2 linked regions of the Rhinolophus ferrumequinum genome follow. The protein of the gene in region 1 purifies or fractionates together with the protein of each later gene. This does not show direct contact. Links are inferred from orthologs where the notes say so. Each region holds a gene or a part of one and is shown on either strand. Other genes may lie near its edges.

Region 1 (7,683 bases):
ATTGGATACAATCTCTTAGCAGAAGAGCCTGCAAATTTTTAACTCACAACCTCAGAATCATTTGGCTAGCCCATGTGTATTGGCTCTGCCTCCATTTCCAACCACTGTTTTCTCGTGGACAGCAGAATATGTGTATCTGCTTCTTGCAAAACCAATCAGAGAATTACTTCCCATTTCCTCTTTCCTCCAGACCCAATATGACTTAATCCCATGAAATCTACAACCTTGCTACTCAAAGTGTAGTCCATGGAGCAGCACTGGCTTTACTTGGGAGCTTGTAATAAATGCAGAATCCTAGTCTCCATCCCGGAATCAGCATTATAATGAAATTCCCTAGTAATTCATATGCATATTAACATTTGACAAGCTCTCATCTAGAAAGAATAATGGAGAGACAAATGAGATTCATTTGTCCCAGGGCATGATGATACCTGATTCTAGTTATATTTATTAGGATTATTTCTCAATATGGTTTATCTTTCCAGCTAAATTTTCTAAAAGGAGCAAGTTATAGTGCTCAACCCACTTGAGAGAATGTGGGCTGGTGTGAGTTGTCTTCCTTCATGCTTGTTTTCAATATTGATTTTTTTGTGTGCCACACTCTTGCCACAGTGGTTTTCTTTCCCTTCCTTAATAGCTGCAAACTCTTCCCTGCATCAGGGTCTTTGCACACGTGATTCCCTCTGCCTTGGATGCTTCCTCATGAGGCTCCCCCCACTTGAGTTCGCACATCATCCTTTAAATATCAGATGATATGCTACCTTTCCAGAAAATCCACATTACCCCCATCCAAAGCAGATCCCCTTGTTTTTCTCTCCCATGGTAACTTATTTTCTTCCTAGCAATCACATTTTAATAATTATATATACATTTATGTAAATATGTAGCTGTGTGTAAACTAAGTGGAATAGTGAAGCGGTTATAAGCACAGACTCTGGAGCCAGGCTCCTTGATTTCCAAATCTGGCAATCACTGCTTTTCTCGTGGGCCTCAAAACAACTGCAAACACATTCAAATATGTTTGTTTTCCTACACCACCCACAGTGTCACCTCCGTATGTGACATTAAGCAAGTTACTTAAGAGTCTGTGCCTTCTTTCCTCTTCCTTAAAGTGGGGATAGGAACAATATGTTTCATAGAGTCCTATGAAGAGTATCAAGGGAAATGGGGAGAAGCAGAGGAATTTTAATCAGAGGACCTTCAGAATATTTGATTCTACAGGTGGGTTCAATTTTGTAAGGAGGTAAAAATGAGACAAAGATGTGGATCTTTGTTCCCAGGCCAGGAAATGGCTCTTGAATAAATGAATTATCGAATAAATGAATTATTCCACTTTCTGCATCTTATACATATTTCCAAAGGTTCTGTCCTCTTTTCACTTTTCTCTTGAGCTTCACTTATTATTTCTTTGTTGTGACTTCCAAGCCTCCAGCTTCAGTCCTACCTCTAGTCCTATTTCAAGCTGCTTTCAGGAAATCTCTTCATGGATTTCATACTGATGCCTTAAAATTCGTAGGTCCAAAATTGAACTCACCTTCCTCTCCTTGTCTGCTACTTCATCCCTTCAACTCTGTCACCTTCTTTGGTTACCCAGTCTGAAATTTCACTGCCCTCCATCCTGCACCAACCCCTTTCTGTTCTTGATTTCTTTCCTCCTTATCATTTATCACTCTACAATATACTATTTCACTTATTTATCTTGTTTATAATTTGTCTCCCCTGCTAAAATGTTAACTCTATGAGGGCAGGAATTTTTGCCTGCTTTGTTTATAATGTATCCCCAGAAACTGGAACAATGGCAGGAATTAGTAAGTGCTCAATGAATATTTATTGGATAACTTAATGAATTCACCTCCCCCCTCATTGCCAATGCCAATTAATCTAGTTAATTCTATGTCTATGGTGACTCTTGCTTCTGTCCTTTCTCTTGTGCTGCTGCCATGTTTGTTCAACTGTCAGTGTTTCTCAGAACTATCACAAGTGCTTGCCATCTGCTGGCTGATGAAATTTGGGCAAGTTATTTAAATTATCTGAATTTCTCATGTAAAAATGGGGATAATAATAGTACAGACTCATAAGACATGAGGCTTATATGTATAACGTGTGTATAATACTTGGCCCAGTGCCTGAAACAGAATAAACACTCAGTGAATATTAACTGTTTGTATCTGCTTCCCTGGGCTAGTTCTGGCCTAGCTTTTCTGTCTTGCTTCCTACCCCATCTGTCCCTGAATCCTATACTTTGGCCTCGATGGACCACTTTTGTGCCCCAAACATGACATTCACCTTCATGTTTTCCTTGTAATAAACAGCAGGGAATGAGAAGCAGGCAGGATCAGCTAATTCCTTTCTCTCAGATAAAGTACTGCCAGACCAACTAACCCCAATTTGTATTAAAGGACGGGAGAGCTAGAGAACTTATTTTTTCACAGCAAGCTGAAACTAAGAGAACTATTTCTGGTGTTTTCTGTTGGACCCCAAAATTTTGGCTAAACTGATCCCACAGATTTTCAATACTTTAAATGAGGGTAGTGAAGCCCAGGAGGAATAAGTAATGTACTTGAGGTTATACAGCAAGATAGTAGCTAATTTGGTAAAAGGATTTATTTTCCTAATCTTAGTACTCCTTATTAAAACATGCTGTTAATAAACCCCAAAGAGTCTTGTCTTAGAAAAGCTCATTTCCCATGTTCCAGCAGAAAATTCCCTTAAATACAGACACAATTAAAGTTGGAGAGAACATAGCAGCTTATCAAGCATGACTGTGAGCTGCACCCGGCAGAGAGACAGACAGACATATATAGGTGATTTAGACTGAGTAAGCTAAACAAAATCTGGGAGTCACTCAGTGACTGTATGGGTCCATTTCAGCATTTACCTGGGCCAACGCAGAAGACAAGCGTGAGAAACTGGAACAGCCAAATCATGTTGTTAGCACTGGAGACTGGTGCTGAAGACTTTAAGGCAGTCAAGTTCGTTCTCTGTTGAAAGTGCTTCTTACTCAAACTTCCCCTTCCTGTCAGAAGTGTTGTCATAAGTGACTGCTAGGCTCACAGTCCGTGCTGCAGTCTCTTCCTGCAAGTCAGGACTAACCCCCAAGAGACTCTCAGACCCCCAGGATCTACCTGGCACTGATTGAGCCTTCTACGGTAGCTGCGGCAAGAGTGAAGAACAGAGCACGCAAGATCTTAAATGCCTTTCAATATGCTCTTTACTCAAACATCAATCATCAATACACCAAACAGTAGAGCACACAGAGTAATACAATAATTGGGTAAAACAGAGTAATGGACCAGTCCCAAAGTCAGTAAAAATCCTGGTGGAGCCAGGAAGGGTGGCTGGTCCTGGAGGTCGTTCTGGCAGAGGTTCAATCTGAGTCTGATGGAGTAAGCAGGCTTTTGGAGCAGAGGAGCAGCGTGGTCACCTCTTAGTCGAGACCCGCTCTCTGAGCTGCAAAAGTCTTCAGTTCTTATGCAGCAATGAGTGCCTTAATGACGTCACCTTATCAGAGCAGCCAGCCTGCGACCCTGACGTCCTCTTATCTTCAGTAGCAGACCTTTAGGAATGCAGCTTGTTGCACCCAATTACTAGGGCAACCAGGCAGCTCCCTGGGCATTGTCTGCTAAGTTCTCTGTGCATGTCCAAAATAGAGTTACTCTTGCTCATTCAATATGCTCACACAAAACTCATTCTAACAGCTTCCAGGGGTGCTCTACGCAGGCATGCATCATAACAGTCCTAATTTTATTTTTTTAAATTATTCTATTTACTTTTTTTCCTGAGCAATGGGGGGAATCTTTTGTTTTACTATTTGGTCTCTTGTTTTCAGTTCCTGAAATATCTTCAGAGCCATAAAGATGAAATGGATGTCTTATTATTTATAACAAGCCCCTTTTTACCCCAACTTTGTATATGTTAATGAGGTAACTTTTAGACTGCACCTAAGGTTGGCAGTGGAACCAATCAAGTGATTAGAGGATTGGAACTTTCAGCCCCACCTCCTCACCTCCAAGGTGGGGAGAGGGGCTGGAGGTTGAATCAGTACCGAGTGGCCAGTGATTTAATTGGTTGTGTATATGAAATGAAGCCTCCATAAAAAACCAAAAGGACAGGGTTCAGGGAGCTTCTGGATTTGTTAACACATGGTGATCTGGGGAGAGTGCTGTCCTTGGAGAGCACATGGAAGCTCCTCACCCTTTCCCCATGCCTTGCCCTATGCATCTCTTCCATCTGATGGTTTCTAAGTTATATCCTTTCATAATAAACCAGTGATCCAGTAACTGAAATATTTTTCTGAGTTCTTTGAACTGCCCTAGCAAATTAATCAAACCCAAGCAAGAAGTTGTAGGAACCTCTAATCTATAGCCTGTTGGTAAGAAGCCCAGGTGACAACCTGCACTTACAATTGACATCTGAAGTATGGGGAGGGTGGGGGCAGTCTTGTAGGACTGAACCCTTAAATTGTAGAACCTTATGCTATCTCTTGGCAAGTTGAGTGTGGGTTGCATTGGTAGTTCATGCCTATACATTTTTTTATACTAGCAGAAATGCTATTAGCTTGTGCTAAAGAGGACAGAGACAGGACTAGATGAAGGAAGGCCATTGGATGTCTTAATACAGGACAGGCCAAAAGAGTATCCAGCTGCAAACATGTGTTATCCTTTAAGAAAAGAGAAAAATGACCTCTCAACTTTTCAGAAGTTGGCAGGGCTGGTACTTCCACTATGGGTCCTAGGGCACAGGTTCAGAGGTCAGGACTATTTTTTCTCCAGTTCCAGGTGGACCCAGAGGACAGAGCACTGAGCCAAAGAGGATTGTTCTCCAGTCTTAAAATCTAATAGAATCTGCCTTGCTGGGTTTTGGACTTGCTTGTGACCTGTGACCTTTTGCTCTTTTCTATTTCTCCTTTTTGGAGTGGAAATGTCTATCCTTTGTTTATCCCACCATTGTATTTTGGAAGCATATAACTTTTCTGGTTTCACAGCTGGAGAAGAGTCTTCCCTCAGGATGAATCCTTACTTGAGTTTCCCTCATACCTAACTTAGATAATATTTAGATGAGATTTTGGATTAGAGTTGATGTCAGAATGGGTTAACATTTGGAGGGGGGCTGTTAAAGTAGGGGTGAATGTATTTTGCTTGTGAGAAGGACATGGGTTTTGATGGTGCAGAGGGCAGAAATATAGGCTGAAATGTGTCCCCCCAAATTCATATATTGAAGTGCTAATCCCCATTATTCAAGAATGTGACTGTATTTAAAGATAAGATCTTTAAAGAGGTAATTAATTTAAAATAAGGTCATATAGACAGGCCCTAATCCAATGTGACTGGTTTCCTTATAAGAAGAGGAGATTAGAACACAGACACACACAGCGAGAAGACAATGTGAAGACCCAGGGAGAAGGCGGCTTTCTACAAGCCAAAGAGAGAGGCCTTAGAATAAAACCAACTTTGTGGACACCTTGATTCCAGACTTATAGCCTCCAGAATCTTGAAAAAATAAATTTCTGTTGTTTAAGCCACCCAGTCTGTGGTAGTTTGTTATTGGAGCCCTAGCAAATGAATAAGTGGCTTCAAAATGTTGTATTCCTAATTTTGAATATTTTTAATCATGAAAACTGTTATCAAGTGCTTTTTCTGCATTAATTGAGATGATCATGCATCCCCGCCTCCTTTATTTTGTTAATGTGTTCTATTACACAGATTGGTTTTTGTATGTTGAACCATCCTTGCATTCCAGGAATAAATCCAATTGGTCATGTTGTATAATTTTCCTATGCTGCTGAATTTGGTTTGCTAATTTTTGTTGAGGAATTTTGCATCAATATTTATTAGGGATATTGTTTTGTAGTTTTATCAACAGGTGGTACTCGTGAAAGACTGGAAGGTAGGAGGAAGGGAGAAATTATGTTTTTTCTTCACCTTGATTTCTGATGTCTTAGCAGTGTTAGCAATAATGGAAAATGAGTGCAGCTCCAGGGTTCCTGATCTGGCAATGCATTTCCAGTAGTCATTCCAGAAGTCTTGGCAGTGTGGCTCCAGTGGTGGCAATAGCAGTGGTGAGTGACTTTAGGCTCCGAGATTCTTATGGTTTTGGTGGGATCCTGCAATGTGGCAGCATTGGTTCCAAAGGCAAAATTCCCCAAGGAGTGGTAACAACTTCCTGGTATTACTAATTGTGTAGTAGGCTCATCTCCTCTGTTTTACTCCTCAAATTCTTCCATTACATTTGTATTCAATTTCCTACATTCAATTTGCTGAATTTGCAATACTTAACAGGGTTTCAGTTTTTCTAATCAGACATGAGCTGAAACATCAACTGACCTTCTAATTTAAGCTTGCTACTTTTTTTTTCTAACCAGTCATGAGTGTTGAATTTTACCAAATACATTTTTTTGGAATCTGTCAAGATGATTGTGTTATTCTCCCCTTTAATGTGTTTAAACAATAAATTACAATTGAAGACTTCTTAAAGATAAATAACCCTTATATTCTGGAGATAAACCATACTTGATTTCTTCCTTCCTTCCTTCCTTCCTTCCTTCCTTCCTTCCTTCCTTCCTTCCTTCCTTCCTTCCTTCCTTCCTTCCTTCTTTCCTTCTTTTCCTTCTTTCTTTCTTTCTTTCTTTCTTTCTTTCTTTCTTTCTTTCTTTCTTTCTTTCTTTCTTTCTTTCTTTCTTTCTTTCTTTTTTTTTATGTTTAATGCATTGCTTGGTTCAATTTGCTAAAATTTAAATTAGAAGTTTTAACTTTTATAAGTGAGGTTGGTCTACCAGGAGTTGACAAATTTTTTCTGTAAAGGTCAAAGTAGTGAATATTTTAGACTTTGTGGGCCATACAGTTTCCATTGTAATCATTCAACTTTGCTGTTGTAGCATGAAAGCAGCCATAGTCAATACATGAGTGAATAGGTGTTGAGTGTGTTTCAATAAAATTTTATTTATAAACAGTGAAATTTGAATTTCATATAATTTTCACATATCACCAAATATTATTCTTCTTTAGAGTGTTTTTCAACCTTTTAAAGTTGTAATAACTATTCTTAGCCTGTAGGCTATATAGAAACACTTGGTAGGTGGGATTTGTCCACAGGCTATAGTTTGCTGATCCCTGGTCTATATTTTTCTTTTTGGGGAATCATTGTCATTTAGTTTGGAGTCAGTGCTCAATGAATTTTGAAATTTCCCACTGTTTTCTATGCTTTGGAACAGTTAAAATTATATAGGAATTATTCTTTCACTGAATGTGGTAAAACTTGTTCATAATACCACCAAGGCTTGGCATATTTTTGGAAATTATATCACTGAATATCCTTTTCATTTTTTTCTCTGATCAAACAAGTTTTTCTAGTTATAAACTTTTTTATACACTTTTTAAAATTCGTTTCAGGTGTACAAAGCAACACAATAGTTAGACATTTAAACTCCTCATAAAGTGAAACCCATCCCTTGAGCTACGACCTCCTGACATCTTATATAGCTGTTACAATACCATTGACTATCTTCCCTATGTTGTGTTCCACATCTTGTGACTATCTACACCTATATATTTAGTTGTAGTTGACATTCAATATTATTCTACTTCAGCTTCACGTGTATAGTGCATTGGTGAGGCATCTACACAGTCTATGACGTAATCCCTCTGATAAGTCCAATGCCTATCTGGCACCTTACATGATCTTTAC
Region 2 (7,166 bases), on another chromosome or scaffold:
CTACAATAAAATACAGAAACTGAAGCTCAACCAAACCTTGGATAATGCGAGTAAACAAAAGATAGAATGAGAAACTATTCTGAGCAAACCCTATAATCAGTGCATGTTTGTTAGCTATACCTTCTTGTTCATGTATCTATGATACCATTTACATTGTTATTCCTGCTGCACATCATAAGCATATACATTTTGGTTTAAAATGAGTACATGGTTTATTTCAAAATAAAATGTGATTTTGTTACTACAGCATAGTACTGAAATGGGGGAATGAAAGGTTTATGTTTATCAAAAGGGACCTTTGGCTCAAAAAAGTTGAGAACTTATAAAAGGCAATGTATCTGTGTGTCTTGCTTCTGCAGCATGGTCTAACAGTCACCATCTAAGACTTGGAGGCCCCAGTGTGTCCATCAAAAGATTCTCGGGGGACTCCTAATTTGCCTGCTATTTTATGCTACTTCATAAGGAAGTTTGCATGGAGAACAAAGAGTCATAAAAACTGCATTTATGCAAGATTCACTTTGGGCGAAAACTTAAATGTTTTAGAATTCCCCACCTGCCTAAATTAATTCCATATGTGATCTTGGCCTAAATGGGCAAAAGACTAAAGTTATCCTTATATGTTGCATATTTTACCAACAGCAATCTTATGCAGAAGGCAGGGCAGACAGCTACTTTACAAATATGGAAACCAAGACCCAGAGAAGTTGAGTGACTTCTCCAGAGTCCACATGCTGGCCTGATTATCAGTCCATAGCTCTTTGTAGTAAAGAACAGCATTTGCTTTGACAGTTCATTCATTAATTCAAAAATATATATTGAGTGACTATTATGTGCTTTATGATGCTTTTTATGTGCCAGGCTATGTTCCTGCTGCAGGTGACAATGTCCCTACTTTCATGGAGATTACATTTTAGCAGGAGAGCCCAGCAATAAATAAGTAAACAAACAAATCTCAGATAGTTTAAAGCTCCTTGAAGAAAAAATAGAATATAACAAGGACAAGGAGAGGGTACTTATTTTAGATGAGGTGATCAAGAAAGTCCCCTCTGAGGAAAGAAGCAAGAGCAACAGTAAGGACGAAGACCCTAAGGGGGAAGCATGCTTGGCAAGCTTGAGAAACAACAAAGATGACAGTGTGGTTGAAGCCTGAGGTGCATCTTGCTACACACTGTCCTCTGTTCTCCCTCCCTTGCCCAGGCTTTTTTTGTACCTTATTTTTTACCTCTAACTTAAGGGGCCCTCCTTTGTCAGCTTTCCTAAAGAAGCCCCTTTCATGACCCACTCACTCCTCCATCATCTTTTGATAATAACAAGGCCTAAGAATACTACTTGGCTTTCATTGACCTTCCCCAGTTTCTGCTTGGGAAAAACAATAATATAAGCAAAACATAAAGCTCTGAGCCTAAGAAATTCAACAGCTTCCATTTATTTCCTTTAAAGCCTTTATAATAAATGTATTTAGCATGTCCTGAGAGTTACCACAAGCGTGGCTTGACCATTAAAAAAATAAAGTAAACAATGAAAATCCTCTATTATCAGCCTCAGTGTAATCTTTCTTTACTGACCCAGAAGGTACTTCAAAAGCTTGCAGTACATCATTAGTTACCAAAATTACTACCAAGCATTTTCCCTTATTTTGTTTCTGTCTAGAACCTACTGTACAAGCAGCTGTTTCCATGGGTGTTTTTTTTATCATGCTGACAAAATGTAATTGAGCTAGTTACTTCCTTAGAAATGCCCCATGAGTACTAAAAGAAATTGACTGGGAAAAAAAAGGAATATAATAATAATAATAGCTTACATTTACTGAACATTTACTATCTCTCAGGTCCAGTGCCAAAGTTTTACCTGCATTATGGCATTTAATCCTCACAATCCTATGAGGTAGGTAGTAATATTATTTTATGGATAAGAAAACTGAGAGACTGAGAGGTTAATTGCTGAGGTCACAAACCTAACATTAGACTAGCACAGGATTAAGTGTCAGGTCTGTCTGACTCTGGAGCTCTGGAGCAAAGATGAAGTTGCATCTGATTAAAAATAGGACGTTAGACAAAAACATGGTTAGATAAAGGGCAAAAGTGATTCATAACAAAGGTGTTTTCCCTCCAGGTCCTTTACAACTATTGTCTGTCCTAACTTTTATTAAGAAAGGGTCCTGTCCCACACACAACTCCTCTAAAGGAAGCTAAATAAGCAGATCCAGAAAGGCAGTTTTACTCACAAACATTCTCCTCTCAACCTCCTACCTAACTGACATTGCATTCTTAATGTATTAAGTTTCTTAGTGTTCTTCCCCTCCCTGAATTTGATGGTCTTCCTTTGGGATGACACCTTCAAATACATTTAAAGAGAGGTGTAGAGAAGCCTTTTCTTTTGTCAGGAGCTGCTGGCCCCAAATCTGGCCACTCCACCATCCCCGGGCTCTACCTTGCCGGCCTCTACTAGAGGTCAAAATGGAAATCAGGAGCCTGGGTGTTTCTCGGAGCAAAGGTAAATTCTAGGCTGTGTTTGCCCACCCAAAGTGGCATTCACTGCCCTCAAAAGTTACTGGGGAGGACTTTCTGGAGAGTGAAATCCCCAGTGAGGGGACTAAGCTAAAGCATGGTCCACCATAATCCTGGGCTGGACCTAAATAAGCCTTAGGGGCCATCGGATGGGCAGTGGAAGAGGCTGCAACCAGCTCCTGTGGCCCACACATTGCCTGGCCCTGCCACTCATGCTCACTCCCAGTGCTCACCCTCTGCAGTCCCTAGACCCAGCCACCGCGACATACTCACAGCACACACAGGCAGTACACGCCTGGGACACTTTCGCTGTCCCTCAGCAAATAGCTGCCATCTAGACCGGTGGCAAGCAGGAGTTTCTCCCCTGTCTCCCGGCTGATTTTGCCATGATACACAGCCACTGCATCCATGGCCTGGTGGACTCTTGGGCGGGCTGAGGCGTGGGACAGCAGAAGGGATGCTGCTGCTGCTCCTGCTGCTGCTACTATGCACGAGTCAGCCACCTGACTCCCAGTTAGGCCAGATGTGCAAAAGAGAGAGAGGAGCACCAGAACAACAGGATGTTGTCTACCTGCCTTAAAACCTCCTTCTCACACTTCAATTAAAACCAGCTCAGCAATTTAGCAGCTTGATTATTGCCACAGTGTTCGATCCCCTACCTGCCCCACCCGCACAACAGAGGTTTCATGTGGAGAGGGGAAGAAAATGGGAAGAAGGTCCTTGCAAGATTTGGGCTGTACTACCAAAGTGTACACAGAGGAATGCTTGGTAATACTTTGATTCTAGCAGTTTTCCCAGAGGCTAGCAGGATGACAGCTTAACTAGTTCCCAAATAAGATGATGATAGAGGCAAGTTGTACATGTCCTTCATGGGGGTCAGAAAAACACTGACAGAGAATGAAAGTACCAAAATCTCTGAGACAAAAACTCAGAAGCTGTCACTACTATCACTGTGTAATCACTATTGAGCACAACCAGGAGGGCCCTGCGGCAAATACTGATTTTTTCTCCTTTCTTGTCCAAGTTCCCAAAGTGCTGGTTGACATTCAAAAATCAGTCTATGTCTGGTAACTGGTCAAGATGGGGTGGAGTAGGTAAATATTGTGCTCACATCCTGCCATGAGCACCTCAAAATTACAACTAAACTACAGAATAACCATCATTGAGAATCACCTGAAATCCAGTTGAAGAGAAGTCCTATAATTAAGGATATACAAAATACGTCACGTTGAGACTGATACAAGGAATGGAGAAATAAAATGAGCTGGTCCCAACCCACGTGTGGCAGTTAAAAATTGAGATAAATATCTCCACTGCATAGGTCCCCTGTGAGAAGTGAGGGGTCCCAGCCCCAGGTCAGGCCCCCCAACCCAGGGTTACAGTGCCTGGAAGAGAAGTCACCTTAACTTCTGGCTGTGAAAACAAGGGTAGACTGTGGCTAAGTGAGACAGAGGGCAGCTGGAGTCCCAGGTGTTCCTCTTAAAGGAAATGCATATGGATTTGCTCATTGACAGAATCACTCCCTTTGAGCTCCAGCACTATGGCAGCAGTTTGAAAGGATTCAGGGACATAGAGGGAGGAAATGAATTGTCTGGCTTCAGGGCAAGAGCTGGAGGACCAACTTTCTCCCAGAGAGAAGTGCTGGCAGAAACCATTGTTTCTTTGTTGAGTACTCCTACCTCTCAGAATGCAGACACAGGCAGCTGCTATACCTGAGTCTCCAACAACCTGGCTAACACCTACCGTTGGCCCTGCCCTGGTGTTTCCCTGAGACTCCTCCCTACCCAACTTTCAGGCTCACCCAAGCCACTTCCAGTGGCTTTTCGATATGTCATGCAAGGTGTCAGGTGGGGTCTCGAAGTCTTGCTCCCCACATAAGAACACAGGACATGGTGAGTGCTAATTGCACTCTGCCGTGCTAACTGCAATATGCGCTTGCCAGCTCGGCCACCATCCTCTTGCTAGGCCCCCGACTTTCTGCTAGTGTAGCCACAGCAGTTATATTAGTGGCCAATGGCTCACTGGTTATAGCTGACCACCAACTAGCCACAGCTGATGGCCATCCAATCACAGTTGATAGCCATTTATTACCTGAGCCAGCACCTTTCCATGTGATACTGAGAGCCTGGAAACTGCAATCCTGGCTCTGTCCCCACACCATACAAACAGCCTGTCTTGCCTCATGCTGTAAACTTTCCTCAAATCTCTCAAACATTCACAAACTGCAAATAAGGAGCATCTGGCCTCATGGTGCCTCATACCTCTTGTTAAACATCCCCAAGCCCAGCAGCACCCAGCCTTTCTTTACAGCTTAGCCTCTCCCAGGAACTTCCAAGCCAAGTACAAGTGGCAATTATCTTCAGATTACTTTGTAGCTCATGCCAAGTGGCCCCAGGTAAGGCACAGGCAGTGACTGAACTTGGCCTGCAGCACAGCCACTCCAAGAGGCCCCAGAATCAACACACCCAGTTGCCAGCTTCAGACCACACTAGAGCACCACCCAACCACCTCCATAAACAACACACTCAAAGGGAAGACTTGGCAAGTACCAGAGCTCCACTAAAGAGAATCCTGCCCTGTAGTGTCAGCCTCCATAACAGCTCCTCCACTGTAGTCATGGCCAGTTCTCACAACTAATCAGCCTGAAGTTCAATCCCTCCCATTGATATGCCAACATCACCCAAGGCTCAACTACAACAGGAGGGCACACACAACCCACACAAGGAACACACATGGAGCACTCAGCTCAGTAGACCAGGGAGACGGTACCACTGGGCCCCACATGACACCTGCTACATAAGGACATTCTACTAAGATTGGGAGACATAGTAGCCCTACCTAATACATAGAAACAAATGCAGGGAGGCAGCCAAAATGGGGAGACAAAGAAATATGTCCCAAATGAAAAACAGAACAAAGCTCCAGATAGAGAACTAAACAAAATGGAGACAAGCAACCTACCAGATGCAGAGTTCAAAATACTGGTTATAAGGATGTTCAGTGATCTCAGTGAGAACTTTAACAAAGAGATAGGAAACATAAAAATGGAGATAGAAATAATAAAAAAGAACCAGAATTCTTCAGAAATGAAGAATACAAAAACGGAAATGAAGAACACATTAGAGGGAATCAACAGTAGATTAGATGAAACAGAGGATCGAGTCAGAAATTTGGAAGATAAGGTAGCAGAAAGCAGCCCATCAGAATAGCAAAAATAATCCAGAAAATTAGGATAGTTTAAGGGATCTCTGGGACAACATCAAGCATACCAGCATTCACATCATAGGGGTACCAGAAGGAGGAGAGAAAGCAAGGAATTAAAAACTTATTTGAAGACATAATGACAGAAAACTTCTCTAACATGGTGAAGGAACTAGACATGCAAGCTCAGAAAGTATAGAGAATCCCAAGCAAGATGTACCCAAAGAAGCCCACACCAAGACACATCATAATTAAAATGCCAAAGGATAAAGACAAAGAGAGAATCTTAAAAGCAGCAAGAGAAAGGCAGTTACAAGGGAGCTCTCATAAGACTGTCAGCTGATTTCTCAGCAGAAACTTGTAGGCCAGACAGGATTGGCATTAAATATTCAAAGCGATGAAAAGCAAGGACCTACAGTCATGATTACCTAGCAAAGCTTTCATTTAGCATCAAAAGATAAAGAGCTTCCCAGACAAGAAAAAGCTAAAGGAGTCATCACCGCCAAACCAGTATTACAAATATTGTTAAAGAAACTTTATAAAGAAGGAAAAAAAAAGATTTAAAATATGAATTATAAAATGGCAATAAGAACATATCTATCAACAATTACTTTATATGTAAATGGATTAAATGCTCCAATCAAAAGACATAGGGTGGCTGAATGGAGAAGAAAACAAGACCCATACATACATATGCTATCTATAAGAGACTCGCTTCATATCTAAAGACACACACAGACTGAAAGTGAAGGGATGGAAAAAGACATTCATGAAAATGGAAATAAAAACAAAGCAAAACAAAACAAAAACAAAAAACAAAAAACAAAACTGAAGTAGCAATACTTATACCAAACAAAATAGACTTTAAAATAAAGGCTATAACAAGAGGCATAGAAGAGCGTAGTAATTCCACTTTTGGGAATTTATCCGAGGAAACAAAAACATTAGTTTAAAGGGACATGTGCTTTCCTATGTTCATTGCAGCATTATTTACAACAGCCAAAATATGGAAGCAACTTAAATGTCCATCATTAGATGAATGGATAAAGAAGAAGTGGTACATATATACAATGGAATGTTGCTCAACCATAAAAAGAATGAAATCTGGCCATCTGTAAAAAACATGGATGGGCCTAGTGGGTTTATGCTGAGTGAAATATATCAGAGAGAGAAAGACAAATATTACATTATTTCACTTATATGTGGAATCTAAAAGCCAAAATAAATGAACAAACAAAACAGAAACAAAATCATAGATAACAGAGAACATTTTGATGGTTGCCAGATAGGAGTAAGGATGGGGGAGATGGGTGAAGAGGGGAAGGGATTAAGAGTTACAGATTGGTAGTTACCAAATAGTAATTGGGATATAAAATACAGCATAGGGAATAAAGTCAATAATATGGTAATAACTATGTATGGTGTCAGATAGGTACTAGATGTATCGGGGTGTTCACT

Evidence for each region. Proteins that work in one complex are often made in the same cells at the same time.
Region 2: the proteins of SLAMF6 (region 1) and SH2D1A purify together in Homo sapiens (co-immunoprecipitation; 5 studies listed by BioGRID and IntAct, with this or other methods). This does not show direct contact. The link is inferred for Rhinolophus ferrumequinum from reciprocal best matches to the Homo sapiens genes SLAMF6 and SH2D1A.

The regions. Positions count from the first base shown.
Region 1 is NC_046305.1:28,054,040-28,061,722, reverse strand, and holds the start of SLAMF6 (SLAM family member 6), read right to left. Parts: upstream 3,008-7,683; 5' UTR 2,928-3,007; coding exon 2,879-2,927; intron 1-2,878. UniProt on the Homo sapiens protein: Self-ligand receptor of the signaling lymphocytic activation molecule (SLAM) family.
Region 2 is NC_046284.1:32,677,792-32,684,957, forward strand, and holds the start of SH2D1A (SH2 domain-containing protein 1A), read right to left. Parts: upstream 3,005-7,166; 5' UTR 2,918-3,004; coding exon 2,781-2,917; intron 1-2,780.